Arabidopsis thaliana: one gene and its partner. The protein of the gene in region 2 interacts with the protein of the main gene of each other region in a pairwise test. Each region holds a gene or a part of one and is shown on either strand. Other genes may lie near its edges. The genes, in order: AT3G44590 and GASA5.

The links.
Region 1: the proteins of GASA5 (region 2) and AT3G44590 interact in a two-hybrid assay, tested with the Arabidopsis thaliana proteins (one large-scale study listed by BioGRID).

Annotation. Positions count from the first base shown.
Region 1 is NC_003074.8:16,158,286-16,170,147, reverse strand, and holds AT3G44590 (60S acidic ribosomal protein family), read right to left. Parts: upstream 6,440-11,862; 5' UTR 6,264-6,439; intron 6,173-6,263; exon of another isoform or gene 6,170-6,172; 5' UTR 6,166-6,169; coding exon 6,078-6,165; intron 5,848-6,077; coding exon 5,627-5,847; intron 5,517-5,626; coding exon 5,490-5,516; 3' UTR 5,151-5,489; downstream 1-5,150. Other genes in the region: CYP71 (cyclophilin71), read left to right, coding at 947-1,131, 1,299-1,384, 1,473-1,561, 1,768-2,007, 2,100-2,221, 2,509-2,584, 2,713-2,820, 2,902-3,078 and 5 more; AT3G44580 (uncharacterized protein), read left to right, coding at 9,145-9,636; AT3G44570 (retrotransposon ORF-1 protein), read right to left, coding at 10,313-10,395, 10,470-10,705, 10,793-11,007. UniProt on the Arabidopsis thaliana protein: Plays an important role in the elongation step of protein synthesis.
Region 2 is NC_003074.8:628,889-640,879, forward strand, and holds GASA5 (GAST1 protein homolog 5), read right to left. Parts: upstream 10,291-11,991; 5' UTR 10,124-10,290; coding exon 10,046-10,123; intron 9,886-10,045; coding exon 9,852-9,885; intron 9,617-9,851; coding exon 9,435-9,616; coding exon of another isoform or gene 9,422-9,434; 3' UTR 9,033-9,421; downstream 1-9,032. Other genes in the region: VTC4 (Inositol monophosphatase family protein), read right to left, coding at 1-16, 114-217, 302-382, 507-557, 643-698, 782-794; ILR1 (Peptidase M20/M25/M40 family protein), read left to right, coding at 3,105-3,464, 3,559-3,684, 3,933-4,247, 4,340-4,468, 4,573-4,971; AT3G02880 (Leucine-rich repeat protein kinase family protein), read left to right, coding at 5,931-7,221, 7,409-7,726, 7,820-8,094; AT3G02890 (RING/FYVE/PHD zinc finger superfamily protein), read left to right, coding at 11,940-11,942. UniProt on the Arabidopsis thaliana protein: Gibberellin-regulated protein that acts as a negative regulator of gibberellin-induced flowering and stem growth. May inhibit flowering and inflorescence growth via a pathway involving GAI and by enhancing FLC expression and repressing FT and LFY.

The DNA of each region.
Region 1 (11,862 bases), about 16 Mb from region 2:
GAGGTTGACCAAGAAACATCTCGAGGATAAGAGTCCATAGTCAAATAAGAACAAACAGTAATGGATAAAGTAAGTGATAAGGAGGCCGATTAGGAGCAGCTGCTATTTTTTGTTGTAAAAACTTTGGTTATTATGATTTTAATTGTAAAAAATTGGCTGTAGAGATTTTGACTATGGAGAATTTAATTATTAAAATCTGATTAGTAACAAAAAAAAACTGTAACAACTTATTTTATTATTATTAAATATTTTTTTATAAATATAATTTATGCTAAATATGAATTTATTTGAAAAATTAGTGACTAAAATAAATTTATTATGAAAATTACAAAATTCATAAATAAAAAAAATTATTTTACAAATTCACTATTTTAAATACTCCATCTGTTTCACAATATAAGTTGTTTTAGCTAAAAGCACACAAATTAAGAATATTTACTTTTAAAAAGTTCTACCAATCATAAAAGAGAGTGCATAATATAGATAATCATAAAATATTAAAATAATATATAATTTGTATTGAAACTTGAAAACAACTTATATTGTGAAACAAAAAATTTGATCTAAAATAACTTATATTATGAAACGGAAGGAGTATTCAAATTGGATCAAAAATAAAATAAAAGTCTATTTAATTAATCAAAATTATTTGATAATAAAATATAAATTATTTATATATTTATTTATTATTCTCTCTCAAGATAAAACTCGATTTATTACTTTTATGAATTAGGAGCTGAAAATTCTGCAAAATACCCAATTGGGTCAGGCTCATAAATTTATATATGGGCTTAAAAATAAGGCCCAATAGATATATTTAGTTCATGAATCTACTTCTCTTCTCTATTTATTTCACTCACTGTCTCTCTCTGACAATTCGAAGTTGTAGCAAACCTTGCTTTCAATCGACGAAGGAGTTTTGAGTTGAGGAAGTGAGTAGAAATCAATGGAGGAAGAATCTAAGAATGGCGGAACCACGATTCCGACTGAAGAATTGGCGGTGGTTGCGGTGCCACCTGTAGTAGAAGAAGAGGAGCCGATGGTCGGACCTGGACCAGCTCCACGAGGCAAACGCAAGCGTCCGCTTCAATTCGAGCAAGCTTATCTTGATTCGCTTCCTTCTGCTAATATGTAAGTATGTCTTATGCTTTGGAACCCTCTCTGTTCCTAATCGAATCAAGTTTTGGGGTTTAGGGTTTTAATTTGAGCTTATTGGTTTAGTATTGTTGTTGGTATATATGAGCTTATTATCTGTGAATTGGTATTGAAAAAGTAACTCTTGTATATTTTTTCACTAGGTATGAGAAAAGTTATATGCATCGAGATGTAGTTACACATGTTGCTGTTTCAGCAGCTGAGTTCTTTATAAGTGGAAGTATGGATGGTAATGTTTCTCATCTTTGTGATATTTATGATTTCATTCTGGTTTTGTAATGGCAAAGCATAACATATGTATATTTTGCATAATCTAGGTCACTTGAAATTTTGGAAGAAAAAGGGTGTTGGTATCGAGTTTGCTAAGCATTTCCGCTCCCATCTCGGTCCAATTGAAGGTCTAGCGGTAAGTATCGCGAGTGGTTTTTAAGATACTGTCACCTCAAATCCAGGCATATGCTCCATGTTTTGAAAGATTAGCTTTTTATTTGTTTATTGAATGAAGATAGTTGACCTGGCGGGGAAATTATAGTTAGACATGTTATGGTTTCCGCAATTTTTTTGTTTGTGTCTAGTTCTATTATCAACCAATGACTCGTTTCAGCAATGCAGGTTAGCATTGATGGTTTGCTTTGCTGTACAATCTCAAATGATCATGCTGTTAAAATATATGATGTTGTCAACTACGATATGATGGCCATGATCCGTTTGCCATATATTCCTGGTGCTGTTGAGTGGGTCTACAAGCAAGGGGATGTCAAAGCTAAACTTGCTGTCAGTGACCGAGACTCTTTGTTTGTGCACATTTATGATCCTCGTTCTGGTTCCAACGAACCCATTGCTTCAAAAGAGGTTTGTTTCAATCTCTTTTTCTTTTGTTGTTATTTCTTGACTCATCATTTTTTATCAAAGCTAACAGTTTTTTTTAATCTTTGTATACCCAGATACATATGAATCCAATTAAGGTCATGAAGTACAATCCTGTTTCGGACACAATGATCTCTGGTGACACAAAAGGAATCATTGAGTACTGGAGTGCAACTACATTACAGTTTCCCGAGGATGAGTATGTCCTTGTCTCACTTCTTATCAAAAACGCTTTTATTATTCCATTTCGGTATTGCTGTTTGTTTTCTATAAATTGGAGCGTGTAGGATAAGAGAAGCATACCTGTTTTTCTGCGTGTGGCTAATGTAGTTAAATATCATATTACTGAGAATGATGCAAAGAGGAGCCTGTAGTAGAAATACTTTAGTTGCCAACTTCTTAGTTGACCATCTTTAGAATTTCAGTATAGTTGATGGGCTGCTTTCATTAATGGTTCACAGGTTGACCTTTTACTTGTTGTTGTAGGGTAAACTTTAAACTGAAGAGTGATACAAATCTCTTTGAGATTATAAAGTGCAAAACAACAATCTCTGCCATTGAGGTACTTATTTGGCATTTAGTATCCTTGGTTTTTCTTTACATCCTTAGAATGCAGCTATTAGCAATTGATATGTCTGGTGAAAATCATAATGCAAATTTGGTCTCTAAGTTTAGTGAAATTCTTTTCAGGTGAGTCCAGATGGTAAACAGTTTTCCATTACAGCTCCTGATCGTAGGATTCGTGTGTTCTGGTTTAGAACTGGTAAACTGAGGCGGGTATATGATGAGTCACTTGTGGTAAGGTTACATACTCTATGCTTCTTTCCTTACATGTTTTCACGTTAATCTGTCATGGTTAATGATCCATTCCACTATTAGGTGGCCCAAGATCTGCAGAGGAGTGATGCTCCCTTATACAGGCTTGAAGCTATTGACTTTGGTAGAAGAATGGCAGTTGAAAAGGAACTTGAAAAAACCGAGAGTGCTCCGCAGCCCAATGCTGTGTTTGATGAAAGCTCTAATTTCCTTATATACGCCACTTTTCTTGGAATAAAAGTAAGGAATCCACTTATTGTTTTCGTTTTAAATTACCATAGACTAGCATAACAGTCTAGACATGATAAGTATCCTGTCTCACATGCACATGATACAATTAACGAGCTTAAAGACCTGGGATTTTCACCTTTACTTAGGTGATGACCAAGATATAATGTGGTTACTTCTTTGTACCATATATGAAAGTGGTTATACTTTCTGCCAATATAGTGAATTTAGAATAAAAGAAGCTTGAGATTTTTTTTGTAAATTTGGGTGTCTAAGGGGTAGTGGGAGGAGCTCCATTATCACTAACCCTCAATATCTATGTATTTTCAGCAGATCATTATGTAAAAGCGGACCAGTTTTTATGATTTGATTGTATCAGAACTCTTCCATGCGTAGTAAATGGAATCATGACAAGCAACTGCTAATTTCTCTGTCTACCTTTTTGTTCTCTAGGTAATAAATTTACACACCAACACAGTTGCAAGGATCCTTGGAAAGGTGGAGAGTAATGAAAGGTATCTGAGAGTTGCATTATATCAAGGTGATCAAGGAGGCAAGAAAGTTAGAAAGATTCCTGCAGCTGCAGCAAATGTAAATGAAAGCAAGGAGCCTTTGACTGATCCGACTATCCTATGCTGTGCCTTTAAGAAACACAGGATCTATATGTTCAGGTACGTGACTCATATTGTGCTAGAATGACTCATCTTTATGTTGTGGGAGAAAGAATTATTTTTTCGCACCTTTAGATTCTACTTTGTAGAAAGACCTCATATGTTTTCTCTAGATATCCCGAGAACTACTTTGAATTTATTATCAACAAATTGGTTTCTGCAGTCGGAGAGAGCCAGAAGAACCTGAAGATGCAAGCCAAGGGAGAGATGTGTTTAACGAGAAGCCTGCTGCTGATGAACTTATGTCTGTCTCAGATATTGGAAACTCAGCCACAACATCCCTTCCAGAGAACGTGGTATGTTTTCATAACCCACAATGTTGGTATCTATTTTACTTTTCATTACGTACTGTAATTTGGATCCTTAACACAATAACTCTTTTTAACTCCTAATCATCCAGATAATGCATACTACGCTTGGTGACATTCACATGAAGCTTTACCCAGAAGAATGTCCCAAAACTGTGGAGAATTTCACAACACACTGTAGAAATGGCTATTACGATAACCACCTTTTCCATCGGGTTATCAGAGGATTTATGATACAGACTGGAGATCCTCTTGGGGATGGTACTGGAGGACAGTCAATTTGGGGCAGAGAATTTGAGGACGAGTTTCACAAAAGGTAAACATTTCTTACAGGCTGCTTTGAGTTTAGCCATCCGTTTAGAAACAAATGAAATCTAACTTAGTTTGATACGTTGTTCTTTTACTTGGCCTGCAGTCTAAGGCATGACAGGCCGTTCACATTGTCTATGGCAAATGCCGGCCCAAACACAAATGGGTCTCAGTTCTTCATCACAACAGTGGCTACACCGTGGCTAGACAATAAGCACACTGTTTTTGGAAGAGTTGTGAAGGGAATGGACGTCGTTCAGGTATGATTTGAAAACCAAAAAGAATATTTTTACTTGTTGGCTTAGTGTGACTTAGTGCCTAACCATAAAACCAAATGAACAGGGTATAGAGAAAGTGAAGACAGACAAGAACGACAGGCCTTACCAAGATGTGAAGATACTTAATGTCACCGTTCCGAAATCTTAGCATCTTTGCTACTGTCTCAAAGATAGTGAACAATCTATGCTGATCCGTAACCCCGTGATTGGTTCTATGCTGGGAAGTTGTTCTTGCGGAGATGGATCGAACTGTGGGATATGTTTGTTGTACCCGAGCAGATCAGGTTAAGTTGGTGGCATCATCTTCTTGACACTAAACATTATTTTATGTTTTTGTCAAACAAATTTTATGAGAATGCTTAGTGAACAAAAAGACTTCAACTTCTAATGTTACTTCAATTCCTCTTATTTTCTTGAAATAGAGTTGATCTACTTTCTTCTAATTTATCCAAGCTTCATGGGTTTATGTCTGAAACGACAACACGACAACACCAATGTTTGAAGTTAATAACATAGAATCTCAATTTCACTTGGATTTGGATTTTTCTGTTTATTTGGGATCACTAAAGATAAACTTTTCCATGAGTGTATCAAATTCTAGCCCTCTTAGGCACTTATTTTGTGATATGCTAACATACTATGAACTAAACTATGTAAATTACAAGCTTAGACCAGATTCAACATGTAAATCAAACGGAAAACGATAAATGAATAACCCGCAAGGTCGCAACATAGTTGAAAAAACTCTTCTTGCTTCATTATCTAAGGAGTAAAATTCGTAATCCAAGAAGCAAAAACCAGAACCACTAAGAGAACAAAAAATCAAATCTCGACTCCTTTCCGTGGGGACAAAAACCTTACTCGAAGAGACTGAATCCCATGTCCTGCATCAAAGGTGAAGGATATAACAAAGAGTCAGATAAAGACCAATATCAAGACCATAACAAAGACTAAGTAATAAGGAAACAAAATGATAAAGAGAGAAATGCTTTACATCATCAGACTCTTCTTTCTCTTCCTTCTTGGCTTCTTTCTTCTCCGCAGGGGCAGCAGCACCACCACCACCGCTTGATGGAGCAGCTGAAACAGCCACACCACCACCAGATGGCACAGACGCTAACTTCTCCCTACCAGAAGCAATCAGCTCAGCAATGTCTTTACCACTCACTTCTTTCAATAGAAGCTCAATGCTCTCTCCATCAACATCAGCACCAACTACATAACAAAACATAACAAACAAAGTCCTTTAATGAATCATATACAGTGAACAAAACTATCTTCTGTTCTTATACTCTTCAACAATCAAACTAAAACTCTTATAGCTAAAACAAAGCAAATACAGAATCTTCCCAAATCATCATTGCTACTACTTCGCCGATCACAGTAACACAATCCAATAAAATCAAAACACATTCATAAACAAATTCAAAAGCACAGAAATTTACCAGCTCCGATGATATCTTTGATATTATCAGCAGAAGGATTAGCGTTTCCGCCCAAAACGGCGAGGAGGAAAGCAGCGGCAACCTTCATTTTTCTGCTTTTAATACAAAACCAAAACCAAATCAAATTACTCAGAAATAGAATTAAACACAAGGGAATCGATTGAGAGACATTGGAAGAAGAGTTACCAAGAAGATTTGAGGAGCAGGAAGCTACAAGCTTTTGGTTGTTCGGAGAAAGTGAAAACGAAAATGAAGGAAGAAGATGATGAGTTAATTATATATAGTTAGGGTTTTCTTCGGTTTCCGGTTAGCTACGGTTCCGGTGTTACCTTCAATTGTTTTTTTTTTTTGTGGGGTTCAATTATGAACATTTAGGTTTTTGAATATTTTAGGTTTTTCGATATTCCGATTAATCATTTGATTAACAGTTCTGTTTGGTTCGGTTCCCTTTTGATTTTGGTTAGTTTGAATAGGGGTTTTATTAACCATTCGATTATTTTAGAAACTTTGGTTTAGATACGGTTTGGTTTAGTATATTATTATGTATTTTTAGAAACTTCGGTTCGGCTACGGTTCTGCTTAGCCACACATCTAAACTGTTCATTACTCGATCACTTATAACTTTTTTAGAAACCGATCTAATCGATCACTAGAGTTTTCTCCATAAGCGAAAAACTGATTTATGGTTATTTATTGATGCTAATAACACGATATCTGTTATACTGGTAAGGAATATATTTTTGAAATTTAAATATATACAATCAAGTAATTTCTTAATTTTTGATGTCCAACAACCCATCAATTGGCCAATTTTCGCTCTTTATGTACGCTTTCCTCAAAGACAAATGCTAATCCAAATATATCTCATGCATTCACATTCAAGCAATCAATCATTTAATCAAAACCATAAACTATACGTTTATACCCTACGCAATCATTCACATTCTACCAAATCATCAAGTAATCACAAATTGATAAACCTTATGAACCTTAAGCTTAACTACTCTGAAATTAAACGCTAAACTATATGATATGTTGCGTTTTTGGTGTCTTAGGTCTCTTAGTTTTGAGTAGTTTGTCGTGTCGTAGTCTGTCTTTTGCGTCTTTTCGGTTGTGTCTTGAGTCATTTGCAGGTTTTAGGTGTTTAAGCGGAACACAAATGTTTTCGGGACTTATCGGGCTCATTTGGACAAGAAACGATAGCAGGAATCGAGAAACCGGGGTCAGAAACATTGGATCGATCGATCCCACCACTAGATCGATCGATCCAAAACTCATCGTCGAAGACAAATCATCCGCCAGCTCGGGATCAATCGATCCTAGGTGGAGATCGATCTATCCACCACTCATCCACCGAAGTAAAATGTCCGCCAGCTCGGGATCGATCGATCCAACACTCTCGATAACCAGACCGAATTTCCTTAACCGGGTTTATATGTCTTTTTCTGTATTTGGGTATAAAAAACCCCAGGAACTTAATTTATCTTTTTACGCTTCTTTTTCAGTAACATTTCTAAAAACTTTTCTGTAAGCACTTTTGGGGATTAGAGATTCATCCTTCTTGACAATTTGGAGAAGATTTCTAAACTCTGTTCTTAATTATTCTATTTGAATCATGTTTTCTTTCATATCTCTTTGCTTGATTTCTATTGCAATGTCTGAGTAACAATTGGGTTTTAGGGTTCTAAGTAGGAAGTCAATGAATTAGTAACTAAGCTGTCGTAGGGAATTCTCAATCTTTAGGTTCTTCAATTTATGTGTTCTTAATGCTAGAATAGGATTGATCACCTTGTTTTAGAACTTAGGTTTTTCTATGCATTAAAAGTGTTCGATAGAATGCCTAAACGAATATAAATTGAGCATTGTATTTCTAGCCATCGAAAGTTGACGTTAGAACGCATTGTGAACTAAATAAACCAACTCATTAATGCCAATTAGGAGACTACAAACGAAAGTTTAGTAGTTGAGTAGTCAAATTTAGTGGCTAGTATCTCGAGAGAGAGTTAGTTTAGAATTATGTTTATGTTTCAGAACGATTCTTCATAATTGAATTCTCTATTTTGTTTATTATGCTAATCTTTGTCTTTTGAAATACCCTAACGCCCAATGTCTTTAATCCATAATTTTAATCGTTTATTTTCTTGCATTTTAATTTATAATTCAAAAACCAAACAAACAACGTTTTTGCTTTAGCTAAGAACGAGTCTCGGAAATCCTTAGAGTATCTTTGGTCCTTGTGGATCGACCTCGCATATACTACCTTGCGGTTAAGTTTATCGAGCAATTACTCGAGCAATCAAGTTGGCGCCGTTGCCGGGGATCGATCGATACCAATGCGTCAACATCATCTGCTAGAACATCATCGATCCAGTCGTTCCTTCGAGCTTCAACATCATCAGCCAGAACGGGATCGATCGATCCCACCAGTAGATCGATCTCAATTAATCCAAACCGATTGGATTTCTGCTAACCGGAATTGAACCAAACTCCACTTAAATTGAACCGGAACGACGAACAGTTTATCACCGGATCAAGTTTTCCTTCGCCATTCAAGAGCTCCACTTCAACTTCTTCGTTTTTTGTTCATCAAGAACACCAAAATCACTAAACCCTAACTCTCTCAATTCTTAGTCGTTTTTGTCAAATTTGGTGCCTATTTCAATCAGACTTTTCCTCTTTCCATATCTACTGTTTGTTTTCTGGATCTGCAAAGGTATGTGCTCGACATTCCCTTTTTTTGTTCTGTTTTCAAAAGTGATAAATCTCCAATTCCTTGAATTTTCATGATGTTTATGGGTTATCTGATGCTAGCTTATTGTCTACGATGGTTTTGGAAACCTTTTTAAGCCTTTAATTGCTGGATTAAGGCCTAATTTGAGATCTGAAAATTTCCCCTTTGGTAAAAAACGGACATGTTCATACACTTTGAGAAAAACGGATTTTAGAGCTTAGAACTTGATTATTCATGATGCATTGTTTAGTTTTAATAACTAAAATACAATGTTTAAGTTCTTTGATTTATTTTTGAGTGATTTCTTGACTTCACTTTGTCTCTTTTGCAAAAGGTATGGGAAAGACAAACAACGCTGCAAGAACTTCTCGAGCACGCACGAGCACTTCCGGAGCATCGGCAAAAGAAGATCCTAACAAGCGTCCTGTTATCGGCATATGGGATAAGGAAGACACAAAGCTACTGGCAGCTTTGAAGCATATTGATGTGAGGCCAACGCGAGTCGCTTCCAAACCTTCTCTACATGTGCTTGGCATGTACGATTATGTCGTGATGGTGTTTCAAACACTCAGTATAGGACGGTATTGGGAAATGGATGAGGATGTATATCCTAAACTTGTGAAGGAGTTCATTGCCACGTGTCGCCTCACGTACGCGAATCCAGAGAACCGAAAGCGAGTCAAGGAAAACTCACATTCTTTCTTAACAAACAGCATTACAGCAAGACATTGTTTGAGATCTGCGACATGTATAGATTTACGAAAGGAGAAGCGGTTGAGTTCCCGAAGTTGTCTCCTGCGGTTGCTGATGACTTTTGGAACACGATAGCTACAGAAACATATAAGTCGCGCACATCGAAGATAACATATATTAGGAGTCCTATTGTGCGATATGTTTTTGAAGCTCCTCGGTAGCGTTCTGTACTTCAAACCGGTGATCACAGCTGTGCCTGAGACCGAGTTACCACTACTTTTCTATGGGGTCAAACATCGACTAGGCGTCTACTCGATCTTCCAACTCCCAACACTAATGTAGCTGCGGTTTTGTGTGACACATTGGTGAAGATTAAGAATAATGTTCCTACATCAGCCGTGCAGAGCATTTTAGCTTGTACTGCACTTCTCCATTGTTCCTCGGCTGCAATCTAGACCTCTCTAGGGCTGAGTCATCCATTAAACGAGAGCGAATGGACTTGACATACCTGATTCATACTAGTTTCACCAAGCCAGGAAGTTGACTGTACCAATTTCTGGGCAGGGAAGGTAACACTTATTTCTGCACGATACCCAACCAGAATATTACTTCACTTCTCTCCGCGACGAACCTAGTGTTTGAACCTAACGAGCAGTACTTTGTTCCTAACCCTTCTGAGACCGTGTTAGATTAGTAGACAAGTGACAGTCTAACACTAGGTAACAAGGTACTGCTCGTTAGGTTTGAACACTAGGTTCGTCGCGGAGAGGAGTGAATAATATGCTGGTTGGATATCCTGCAGAAATAAGTGTTACCGTCCCTTCCTAGAAATTGGTACAGTCGACTTCTTGGCTTGGTGAAACTGGTATGAATCAGGTAGATCAAGTCCATTCGCTCTCGTTTAATGGATGACAAAGCCCTAGAGAGGTCTAGATTGCAGCCAAGGAACAATGGAGTAATTGCGATACCAGCTAAAATGCTTTTCGCGGCTGATGTAGGAACATTATTCTTCATCTTCACCAATGTGTCACACAAAACCGCAGCTACATTAGTGTCGGGAGCTGGAATATCGGAGTAGGCGTCTAGTAGATGTTTGACCCCATAGAAAAGCAGTGGTAACTCGATCTCTTGCACAACAGTGATCACCGGTTTGAAGTATAGAACGCTACCGAGAAGCTTCGCAACATATCGCACAACAGGACTCCTGATATGTGTTATCTTCGCTGTGCGCGACTTATATATTCATGTAGCTATCGTGTTCTAAAAGTCATCAGCAACTACAAGAGACAACTTCGGGAACTCAACCGCTTCTCCTTTCGTAAATCCATACATGTCGCAGATCTCAAACAATGTCTTGCTGTAATGCTGTTTGTTGAGAAAGAATGTGAGTTTTCCTTTACTCGCTTTCGGGTTCTCTGGATTCGCGTACGTGAGGCGACATGTGGCAATGAACTCCTTCACAAGTTTAGGATATACATCCTCATCCATTTCCCAATACCGTCCCATACCAAGTGTTTGAAACACCGTTACAACATCATCGTACAGGCTAAGCACATGTAGAGAAGGTCTGGAAGCGACTCGTGTTGGCCGCACATCAATATGCTTCAAAGCTGCCAGTAGCTTTGTGTCTTCCCTATCTCATATGCCGGTAACAGGACGCTTGTTAGGATCTTCTTTTGTCGGTGCTCCGGAAGTGCTCGTGCGTGCTCGAGAAGTGCCTGCAGCGTCGTTTGTCTTTCCCATACCTTTGCAAAAGACAAAGTGAAGTCAAGAAATCACTCAAAAACAAATCAAATAACTTAAACATTGTATTTTAGTTACTAAAACTAAACAATGCATCATGAATAATCAAGTTCTAAACCCTAAAATCCGTTTTTTCCAAAGTGTATGAATATGTCTGTTTTTTACCAAAGGGGAAATTTTCAAATCTCAAATTAGGGCTTAATCCAGCAATTAAAGGCTCAAAAAGGTTCCTAAAACTATCGTAGACAAGAAGCTAGCTTCAGATAACCCATAAACATCATGAAATTCAAGGAATTAGAGATTTTTCACTTTTGAAAACGGAACCAAAAAAGGGAATAGCGAGCTCATACCTTTGCAGATCGAGAAAACAGACAGTAGATATGGAAAGAGGACAAAAATCCGATTGAAATAGGCACTAAATTCGACAAAAACGACTAAGAATTGAGAGAGTTAGGGTTTACTGATTTTGGTGTTCTTATGAACAAAAACGAAAAAGATGAAGTGGAGCCCTTGAATGGCGAAGAGAAACTCGATCCCGTGATAAACGGTTCGGTTATCCGGTTCAATTTAAGTGGAGTCCGGTTTAGTTCCGGTTAACAAAAATTCGATCGGTTTGGA
Region 2 (11,991 bases):
ACACACGAAAGGGAACCTACAAAAAAAAAACAGCATTTGTTTTTGTTTTTGATGAAATGGGCAAATGAAACACACAGGTCATTCAAATGGGAATTGATCAATAATGATAATACCCGTGAACGAAATTGGTTGTTCCATCAAGAGGATCAACAATCCAAGTTGGTTCGTCAGTTAGTTCTGTCACACCAAATGCAGCTGTAGTTTCTTCTCCTATGAACTAATAAATTATAGCAAAACTCTAATGATCAACGCGAGGAAGAAGCCAACAAAATGGGAATTCAAAAGAAGAAATAATCACCACCTTGTGATTGGGAAAGAGCTGCTTGAGATGATTAAACACAAGTTCTTCACATCCTTTATCAGTCTCTGTCACCAAATCCACCTAAAAGCAACAATTTAAGGAGCCATAGAAGATAATTTCAAAAAAAAAATTGACACTCTTAAGTAGCCATTCCCACTTATTGAGTGATTGAAACATTATCTGAGCGGAGGAAAGAAACAAAAACCTGGCCTTTGTGTTCAACATGTTTAGTCTCGTAAAACCCTTTACGAATGATCTGCAGAACGCAAACCAAAAGGAGCCAGATTAAATAACGATTAGCCAAAATATCGATCAAAACTCAAGGAGATCGAAAGATAGACCTGTCCAGCTTTTTTAGCGGCATCAATGGCGGCAGCCAAAAACTGATCTAGAGAATCTGCGTCAAATCAATGTCGCCCGAAAGAAAATGAGGAAACAGGGAAATCAAATAAGGTTTGCAGAGATTGATCGTGACTTTACCATTGTCCGCCATTTTCGAGAGAAGACGAAAAGAGTGATGCTTTCTTTACTTTGGGATGTGTTTCAGAGAAAACCAAAAGTTACGGTTTTTGTGGTTAGGCACAGAGCGAATATTCGAGGCATCTAATCTTATACTGTATTATATTAATTACCCAATTAGGCATCCGAAATCACCCAATAATCACGGTCCGATATGGGAAATAAGAGGATTTCAGAAAATCCGTTATACAAAAAGCTAACCAATGATCATTTGAAGATTAGATTTCACCTCAATTTTATCATCCAACTTTCTCTTGACAAAACCCGCATTCTGTAATCAGTTCTCTTTTCCGGGTCGGACAGACCCGAGTCGGGTTTGGACTTGAGACTATTGGACTGGACTCCTTATTCTGAATATGGGCCGGAATTCTTTTTTTTTAGAACAAGTGCATAACACGGAAGGAAAAAGATGTTCTAATTTATTCTGAATATGGGGCCGGAATGATATTGGTGCATACTTGTCTTTCTCTGGCTGGTTCACTTACATTGATGAGAAAAATGCGAAGAACACTTTGAAATCGGTTTGTGATCAAGAGACAAAGGAACAATCGTCTACTGCTTCTGCCGTTGTGTGGACAAGAAAAACTCATTCAACACCAAAATTATGTTGTTTTATTTTTCCGATATTTTACATTTTGTCTTATAAATCTCATGATATAACAGTAGCCCCTTTCTGAGAAGAGATTTGTTTTGCATACTTGTGTAATTTACATTTAAAAAAAACACAGATCAACAGAAGAACAGAACTAAACACTAACACTCTAAACGAGACCACCTCTCCAACACGAGACATCAAACGCCACACATACACAATCTCTGCAACCTAAGAACAGAACTAAACACTAACACTCTACAATCTACTTGTTCATTCTTGAGAAATCAAAAGTCTCTATTCACCTTCTTCTTCTTTCTTCTTCTTCGAGAGAAACGAAAATCAACAATCTTTTTCATCTATTTCTCTTTGGAGAAGAGAAGCAAAGCATAGAAATGTCCATCACTTTATATTATTTGTTGTATTCTCCATTCATAGGCAAAGAGAGAGAGAAAGATGTCTTCATCATAGCTAAGCTTTTGGTTGCCTTAGAGATAGTCTCGACCTTTCTCTCGTTCCAAGACAGCGATGACGCTCTCTGCTGCTCTCGGCGGAAGATACAGCCAGTCCCAACGTACATGGACTTTGAAGTAGGTACTAACATGAACGTAGACAGTGTTGTGGTTAGTATACTTTTGAGGATCGGATCATCAACCTTATCAGTTGATTCTTCAACTTAATTAAACTCATTATATAAAAAACAAAATATTTATGTGACCGTTAAGAACTTAATTGTGAAAGAAGAGGAAATAACAGAGAAAAAAGGGAATTGTAATGTGACCGTTAATTGTGATTAGCAATATCCCTTTTTCTCTCAAATAATAATTGGGGCATTTGCAAATCTTACACTTGACTTCCTTGAAAAGAAAGCCTCTGTTGCGTAATTACAATTTGCATTTTGGTTGTATGTTTGTGATTGTTTCATAGGTCTATTCCACAACTTTTTACCTTTTTTATTTTTTTACTCTCCACAACTTTGTACCTATAACTAAATAATATAAAGTCACAATTTTGTACGGATATTCTGATGTTTCATTAGTCATTTACATTTTTATTGATTATGTTCGCATGTACAGCTACTTTCGTAAACAGCTTCTTTTGTACGAATTGTTCTAGAGAATTTTCGATCATAATCAAAATATAAACAAAATGTTTAACAATGCGCTTCAAATAGGTGGGCCTTTGTTATAAGTAATTTAAAAGTCGAAGAACCCAATGGCCTATATGTCAATCAAATACATGGGCCTATGTTATAAGGAATTAAAAATTTAAGAACCTTAAAGGCCTACATGTGATTCTCACAACTCTAATTCATGCCATGTTTTATTTTAAAAGTGTTAATTTTCATTAACATAAATGGTAAAATCGTGTATTAAACGTACTAATTCATTTCAAGTAAATATTCCTTTTATACCGTAAATATACTACATTGTATCATTTTCATATTTTATCTTTGGTATTTCATTATTTTCTTCACATTACAACCATAAATTATGAATTTCACATTAGAGGCGTATACGTATTTAAAAACGATTAAAAGAGTTTCCAAAAACGTGTGTAAATTACGTACTATATAAATATTAAAAATGGATCGGTGATCCAACTCCTTCTCCTTCATCATCATCGTATTCACCGTTGTCCTTTCTTTCATTGACACTTGCCAGTTTACATCGACAAACAAAAGAAATCAGAATGGATTTCTCAGGGAGCTTCTTTGTCATCTTCGTTACCTTCTTCTTTCTCCCTCCTCTGTCTTCAGCTGGGAGCTACGATTCTGGTTCGGGTCTCGAGTCACTCGCTCGCGGGATGCTTCATTCAGCCAAGGATCCTGAGTTCTTCGAGTGGATGAGAGGAATTAGGAGAAAGATTCATGAGAACCCAGAGACAGGGTTTCAGGAGTTCAAAACGAGTCAACTCGTTCGAGACGAGCTTGACTCGCTTGGAGTGAAGTATAAGTATCCTGTGGCGAAGACTGGCGTCGTCGCTTGGATCGGATCCTGTTCGAAACCTGTTTTCGGACTTAGAGCCGACATGGACGCACTTCCGTTACAGGTTTGAAATCTAATAATCAAAGTTCCGATTTTTACTCTGATTTTTAGATTGCTTTGTTTGACTAATGAATTTGAAAAAATGGGGACAAAAAAAGGAATTAGTGGAATGGGAATCGAAAAGTAAAGTAGATGGAAAGATGCATGCTTGTGGTCATGATACTCATGTTGCTATGCTTCTTGGTGCTGCTAAGCTTCTTCAAACCACAAAACACCTCATCAAGGTCTCTCTTTTTTCTCTTTCACTCAATTTATATGTATAATTTTGAATGATTCTGTCTGTGCCCTGCAATTAAAACTCATTTCGATGTGGGTTAGTGTTTTCTAAGATTCTTAGATATATGTGTGTGTATGTCTTTGATTGCTAATTGTTATGTGTGTGTGTTTTCTAGAGTTGTTAGTGTGTGTGTCTTATGAGAGTTTGGTGAATCTTATGAGGGTTTTGAACGAAAACACAATTTTTTTGCAACAGGGGACAGTAAAACTTGTGTTTCAACCAGGCGAGGAAGGTTATGCAGGTGCTTATGAAATGCTAAAAGACGAGATTCTAGACGACTTAGATGGGATACTCAGTGTTCATGTCTTTCCATCGATCCCATCAGGTGGTATTGGTTCTAGGCCTGGGACCGTTCTTGCAGGTGCAGGATTGTTTACAGTCACGGTTCACGGTCAAGGTAGCCACGCAGCTACACCGCACTTCTCTAAAGACCCGGTTCTTGCAGCTTCTTCCGCTGTTGTTGCCTTGCAACAGATTGTTTCGCGGGAACTGGATCCACTCGAAGCTGGTGTAAGTTTGCTTTCCACTTTCAAAGCATTGGTGTTTGATGAATCAGAATCTTGGCTGAAATCAGCGGAGATTGGTTTTTTTATGTTTCTCAGGTGGTTACAGTTGGATATATTGAAGGAGGTCATGCTCAAAACGTAATACCGCAGAGTGCGAAATTTGGAGGTACTTTCAGAAGCTTAAGCAACGATGGGCTTCTATTTATCCAAAGACGGATCAAAGAGGTAAAGAGATTGTTTTTTACACCATTTTTCTATACAATCTTGTTCTACTATTCGAATAATGTAGGTCCCTAACCCTGTTTAAATGTTTCTTGATGATGATGCAGATTTCAGAGGCACAAGCATCGGTATACCGATGCAAAGCAGAAGTAAACTTCGAAGAGAAAAAGCCGTCGCTTCACCCGGTAATGAATAACGACGAGGGCTTATACGAGCACGGTAAAAAAGTAGCGGAAGCGATGATTGGAAAGAATAACTTCCATGATTTCCCGGTGACAATGGGAGGAGAGGATTTCAGCTTCTTCACTCAAAAGACTAAGGCTGCGATTTTCGTGCTGGGGGTAAAGAATGAGACGCTAGGCGCTGGTAAGCCGCTTCACTCGCCTTACTTCTTTGTTGATGAAGAAGCTCTTCCTGTTGGGGCTGCTCTTCACGCAGCTATGGCCGTTTCTTATTTGGACGAACATGGTCATAGCCATGAAGAAGAGGTTAAGAGTGAATTATAGAAGGTGTTGGGAGAAAATCAGCTTATATTAGTCATCATCTATTTGTATTTGAACTTGAAAGTTAGGTGAGGTTAGGTTTCGGGTTGGGAAGAATGTTTGTTAATAGTCACGAGAAACCAACCACTTCTATTAAAATAAATTTGATGTAAGAGTTTTAAAAATTGAACAATTGAAATCTTCAAAATGAATACCACTTCTTAAGTTCTCTGTTGACCATTTCTATTACCTTCCTTTCAAATTGATACAACAAATACATAAAAAAAAAAAAAAAATGTCTATGGTACAAACTTATATCAGAAATAAAAACGGTGTCGGAGAGGCTAATCTTTGTTTGTCAACGGTAGCTCAGACACATTTGACAGACCTGGCATGTCTTTGGTCACACTCAACCTGCAAAAAAAAAAAACATAAAAGAAACAAAACGATAACGACCATTAATTTTTTAATTAGACCTAATTTATTGATCTAATACAAAAGAAAGGAAAAACAGAGGTCGTTTAAACGTCTACAAAAAACATTACTGCAGTGATTTATTGTCATTTATGTAACGCAAATATAGTTGACTCTGATAAAATTGTTACAACTAGTATTCATAAGTCATAACCTTATAATTAATTAATTATCTTTCTGTAAATTAGCTGTCAAATTAAATACATAAGATTCTCTTTTAACTTTTTTGTCAAAAAGGAAATATTCCAATTAGTAACTTTTCTTTTTTTCCTTTTTCTCTGCAATTATGACCATTTTCTCTCTCTTAGCCGGCTCTAGAGAGAGAAGAAAGACAGAGCTGAAACTCTTGTAAACCAAAAAACACAAAAGTCTCTTTGTTCAAACACTCGTTTACGCGTAGCCGAAATAAATTTTCCAAAAACCCATATCCGAAAAAGTCGATATATTTATTGAATTTTTGGAACCAAGGAGACGAAGAATTTACACGGTTTTTGAAGAAGAAGAAGAAGATGAAGTATAAGCGTAAGCTAAGTCTCTCTGTTGTCTTCCTCTTTGTCTTCTATCTCGCTGCGGTGACTTCAGATCTAGAGTCTGACCGGAGAGCTTTACTCGCTGTTCGTAACAGTGTCCGTGGCCGTCCTTTGCTATGGAACATGAGTGCTTCTTCTCCTTGTAATTGGCACGGAGTCCACTGCGATGCGGGTCGGGTCACGGCTCTCCGATTACCCGGATCTGGTTTATTCGGTTCTTTACCAATCGGTGGTATTGGTAATCTAACCCAGCTTAAGACTCTTTCTCTCCGGTTCAATTCTCTCTCTGGTCCTATCCCTTCGGATTTCTCCAACCTTGTTCTCCTCCGTTACTTGTATCTTCAAGGTAATGCCTTTTCCGGTGAGATTCCGTCGCTTCTCTTCACGCTTCCGAGCATAATCAGAATCAATCTAGGGGAGAATAAATTCTCGGGTCGGATCCCGGATAATGTCAATTCTGCGACCCGGTTGGTTACTCTGTATTTGGAGAGGAATCAACTCTCTGGTCCGATCCCTGAGATCACGCTTCCTCTTCAGCAATTCAATGTTTCTTCTAATCAGTTAAACGGGTCTATTCCGAGTTCGTTGTCGTCTTGGCCTCGAACTGCTTTTGAAGGTAACACTCTCTGTGGGAAGCCTTTAGACACTTGTGAGGCAGAGAGCCCCAATGGTGGTGACGCTGGAGGACCCAATACGCCGCCGGAGAAGAAAGATAGCGACAAGTTATCCGCCGGAGCTATTGTCGGGATTGTGATCGGATGTGTTGTTGGTCTGTTACTGCTTCTTTTGATTCTGTTCTGTCTCTGTAGAAAGAGAAAGAAAGAAGAGAACGTTCCATCTAGGAATGTTGAAGCTCCTGTCGCTGCTGCGACTTCCTCCGCTGCTATACCAAAGGAAACGGTGGTTGTTGTCCCGCCGGCTAAGGCTACGGGGTCGGAGAGTGGTGCGGTGAATAAAGATTTGACCTTTTTCGTGAAATCTTTCGGGGAATTCGATTTGGATGGATTGTTGAAGGCTTCAGCTGAGGTTCTTGGGAAAGGAACAGTTGGGTCGTCGTATAAGGCAAGCTTTGAGCATGGGTTAGTGGTGGCTGTGAAACGGTTAAGAGATGTTGTGGTGCCTGAGAAAGAGTTCAGAGAGAGATTGCATGTTTTGGGATCAATGAGTCATGCCAATCTCGTGACTCTGATCGCTTACTATTTCAGCCGTGACGAGAAGCTTCTTGTCTTTGAGTACATGTCTAAAGGAAGCTTGTCTGCGATATTGCACGGTATAGAATAGTAATCTCCATTTGTGCATTTGTTTATTTTTAGGGTTCTTAGTTTAGCTGATGCTAGTTTGTGATCTTGATGGACCTGGTTTGGCTAAAATTGACACTGATTACTGAATTGTTTCATAGTTAGTTTATCTTATGTGTCTTCAAGCTCGGTTTTGAAGCTCTTTTAATGGATTTGTAGGGAACAAAGGAAACGGGAGAACTCCGTTGAACTGGGAAACCAGAGCCGGTATAGCCTTAGGAGCTGCAAGAGCGATTAGCTACCTACATTCGCGTGATGGGACAACTTCTCATGGAAACATTAAGTCCTCGAACATACTATTATCTGACTCCTATGAAGCTAAGGTCTCTGATTACGGTCTTGCTCCCATCATTAGTTCTACATCTGCACCTAACCGTATTGATGGCTACCGTGCCCCTGAAATCACTGATGCTCGCAAAATATCCCAAAAAGCTGATGTCTATAGCTTTGGCGTCCTAATCCTTGAATTACTCACAGGTAACAAACAATCAAGGATAGATATATCTTTTTAACTGCTTTTTTTGCAATTGCTGTGGTTTCTAGGTTTTAACATGGAACATTACATTGCAGGTAAGTCTCCAACGCATCAGCAGTTGAATGAAGAAGGCGTAGATTTGCCGAGATGGGTCCAATCTGTTACCGAGCAACAAACACCGTCCGATGTGCTTGATCCCGAGCTCACAAGGTACCAACCTGAGGGCAATGAGAACATCATTCGTTTATTGAAGATCGGTATGAGCTGTACGGCTCAGTTCCCAGATAGTCGTCCTTCGATGGCTGAAGTCACCAGACTCATTGAGGAGGTTTCTCATTCATCTGGCTCCCCAAATCCTGTATCCGACTGATTTTTTGGGGGTCTAAATTGATTGATTTGAATATTGTTTGGGGTCAAGTTGCAATTTCTTGAATAGTGTCGACCCCACTTCCCGCCTTTTTTCTACTTCTTCTTCTTTGTTCTTGTTCTAGTTTGTTCGTTAATTCTTGAGCCTCAAATTGAGATGAGACCTATCAGTTTCTTTTTTTCTTTCTTTCTACTTTTCTTTATTTCCAAAGTTTTAAAAATGTCTATAAAACTATTGCTTTTGCTAATTTTTGTATAAATATATAGTTGATTGCGTGTGAATAAATTGGTTTTTGTTTTCTTCTTTACACATCTTATCCCAGAATCCTAGTCAACGATTCAGCCAAAAAACAATGTCAACGAGTTTTATTTTTTATCGCCGTCCAAAATTTTGAGCCAAAAACAAAGTCAACGACAAAAGTGGTCATGAATATCGTCTCACGATTGACTGACAAATACTTCACGATTTGATTAGATATGAAGTTTTATAATGTGAAGTTGGTAACCACTAACTAATAACCCTACTTCACAGGAGAAAGAAAAAACATTTTAGATATGAAAAAACAACATTGACCCAGAAAGATATATATTTGCTTAGAGATTTTGTATGAAAGAATTACTAGTGCTGATAAACTATTTAGTTCAAGCTTAAAGGGAAATCGATTAGATAATTTTTCGAATTATTTGAAGAAAACATATTGTGATCTGGACTTATAATTTTTCATGTGATATACCATTTACACCGAGTCATGGGCAGTTGCCACAACTTTATCTCATGTTCCAACTCGTACCAGACTGGGTACATATGCACATGGGGTTCAATAAATTTATTAGTGGGATACTCTTTGACATAAAACACTATTAGGAAAAAATGGAATTAAAACCTATTCATAAATTCATATAATTACGCACGTAAATAATGTTTTTCACAGTAATATTAGAATTTGACCTTAGCAAGTTGATGGTTTTTAAACCGTGGAAGCAAATAGAACATGACTTCCACATACAAACATCATCAACACTAGAGATAAATCATAGATATAGAAAATCATATTTATGACTGAAATATTAACAATTACAACTTAATGGGCTTTATGGCTACATTTTTGTAGGCTCAAATCAATTGATAATGAAGCCCATTTCATAAATATGTAACCATAATAAGTTCGGCCATGACACATTGGGCGGGCTTACACGTATAACAAACACAACAGTTAAGAGCAAAAGACACAAAAAAAGTGTAGAGACAAATCGCCAACTTGTAGAAACAGATTAAAACAGAGTAGTAAGTGTTTGATAATCCAAAACTAGATGAATATTATCAAATATATCTAAAAAGAAGTTTTAAGGACATTTTGGACGGCCTTCTTTAGTCTTCCAGTTGTTGTAACATGGACAAGTTTGTTTGTTGCCGAAAGTGCCAGGAGGAACACAAAGACATTTTTTGCAACACTTGAGGCAAAAGAACATGCATGGCTTCTTGTGTGATGTTGCTGAACAACGGAAGCTACACTTTGAGTTGCACTCTACAATTGAAGTTTCCATCAAAAAAGCATATCACAACAAACAAACAAAAAACAAATCATTGAGATCTTTATGTTCATGCTTATAATTCACAGCATACAGTATACTAGAAAACTGACATTTCACAAAATAAACACCATTATTGTTACTTTAAAGTTTATTTATCAACATTATCAATAATTAGTGATTAATAAATTAATATGATCATATGAAACAACAAAAGTTTTGAGTCCGTACGTTGGGGTTTGAGTTTGCCACCACCACGAGCAGCCTGTCATATATATATAAAACTTCAATATCAGAAAACTAATAGCCATTAAATTTTTAAGGAATGTATAGCCTTTGGTCATTTTTACCTCCACGAGCAGCCTGTAATATATAAAACTTCAATATCAGACTTTAATAAACTGAATCTGTTTTGAGTGGTTTACCTGAACGAGGTTGGAGACTGACAATAAAAAGAGAAGAGTCAAGAAGAAAAGAGCATTTCTTCTGATACAATTCGCCATTTTTTTGGTTAAAAAATCTTGATTGCCAATGAATGATTCTTAAGAAACAATAAAACGGATTAAAGATATTTATAGAGAAAATGATTAGTGTGGATTTCCTTCAATGGTATTCAAGAAATTTGGTATTGCCAATGTTCATGCCGTGATTCTGGGGAAGTAGGTCATTTTAATTTCTAATTACGTACCACACTTGTCGTTTTTGTCTCTTAGACAATGTCAAAGACTCAACAGTGTAAATTACTAATCACTAATTACCCACGTATAGAGAACCAAAAGACTAAAATCTTGCCTTGGAAAAAAAAAAAAAAAACATTTCTCTCAGTGAAAATTGGAAAATTATATTGTGTAGTTGACTAGTGTCTAAACGCTCTGTTTGGAAAATGAAAATGTCACTAATGATAATATCTGTATATAGAAAGGGGAAAATAAGCGAGTTTAGGAAATTAATTAAGCTAATTGTGAAGTGCGACTAAAAAGAAAAAAAAGTGTAATAGAAAGCGAAAAATGCGGCGAAGTTGAGCATGTGATCTTTGTGGGCCATTTCATTGATTTTTTGTTTTGTCATATTATTTGTGTTTTTAGTTTTAATGTAAAAAAAATCTGATTAATTTTAAAAGGACTGGACAATTATTAATGGACATCACCATAAAATCTGTGACCATAAATTTTTATAAAAGGCCCATTAGCCCAACGGTTTTCCAATTACAGAATTTGGGCTGAAACGGCCGAAAATAATCTTAGGATGACGAAATGGCCATTTTGAAATTCTCTTCTTCGTTTGGTCTATTATTTTATTTTTTAACGTTAACGGCCTAACAAGTTTTCCTAACTTAAAGATAAGTGGGAACAGATAAAACAATTAAAATTAACTTCCAATGAAATTACCAAATTAACAATTAAGTTAATAATGTAATTCTAAATTAGGCTTAAGAAGAAAACTTAAATATTTATGTTTATATAATTATCTGTCAGAAGTGCAGAATTCTTATTTTTCCAGAGTAGAGAGGAGTGCTTTCATGGCGGTAAAAGGTAAAATACTAATCACTGTAAAAATCTCTTAACTCTTGCGTTGTGTTTAATACTAATAGACTAAAATTAGTAATTAATTTATAAATAATTGCGTGTGTATATGCACGTATGTCCGTACGTATCTACGTGTAGGTCCTAGATATAGAGAATCCTTGAGGTGGCTATTTAATAGCAGCTCTCATTATCTGGGCTCTGTGTTTTGAGGAAAAGCGATTTATCGAGAAACGAACTTAGGGCCACGCCAGAGAGAGAGAGAGAGAGAGAGAGGGAAATCGAATCTGGATTTTAGAGGAACTAGGGTTTGTATTTGTACTGCGAAAATCAATTAATGGTAAGTTTAGGGTTTTGTTTCTTCTCGATTGGCTCATGCTGATAGTGATTAAGATGATGATTGCGGAAATCCAAATGTCGAGGAAGATGATTTTGAGACCTCAACAATGCAATCTTATACTCTGATTTTTCGGAGTTTTTAGAGACTAATTTGCTTGATTATCGTTAGATTCCTTGTTTTCTGGAGTTATAATCGTGATTTTATTCAGAGATTGGTCACTGTCCTTTGACTTTTCTTTGTTTTTAAAAAAATAGTAAATTATGTGATTTCCTTGAGGGTTCTTAGTTAGAAATTTTGTTCAGTTTGCATGTTATACCAATGTTGTTAAGCAGCATGATTGAATCATCTGGGATTGTGGTTAATGTTTTTGTTGCAGTTATTAATTATGCTCTTTGTTCTTTCTGTTCACAGTTGGATTAGCGGATTAGAAGTCAGTGCTCATCATTTCTGTTGTTTATGGTAAGTTTATCTGTTTTTTGTATTAGCAATTGTTTGGCTTGTTCTTGCT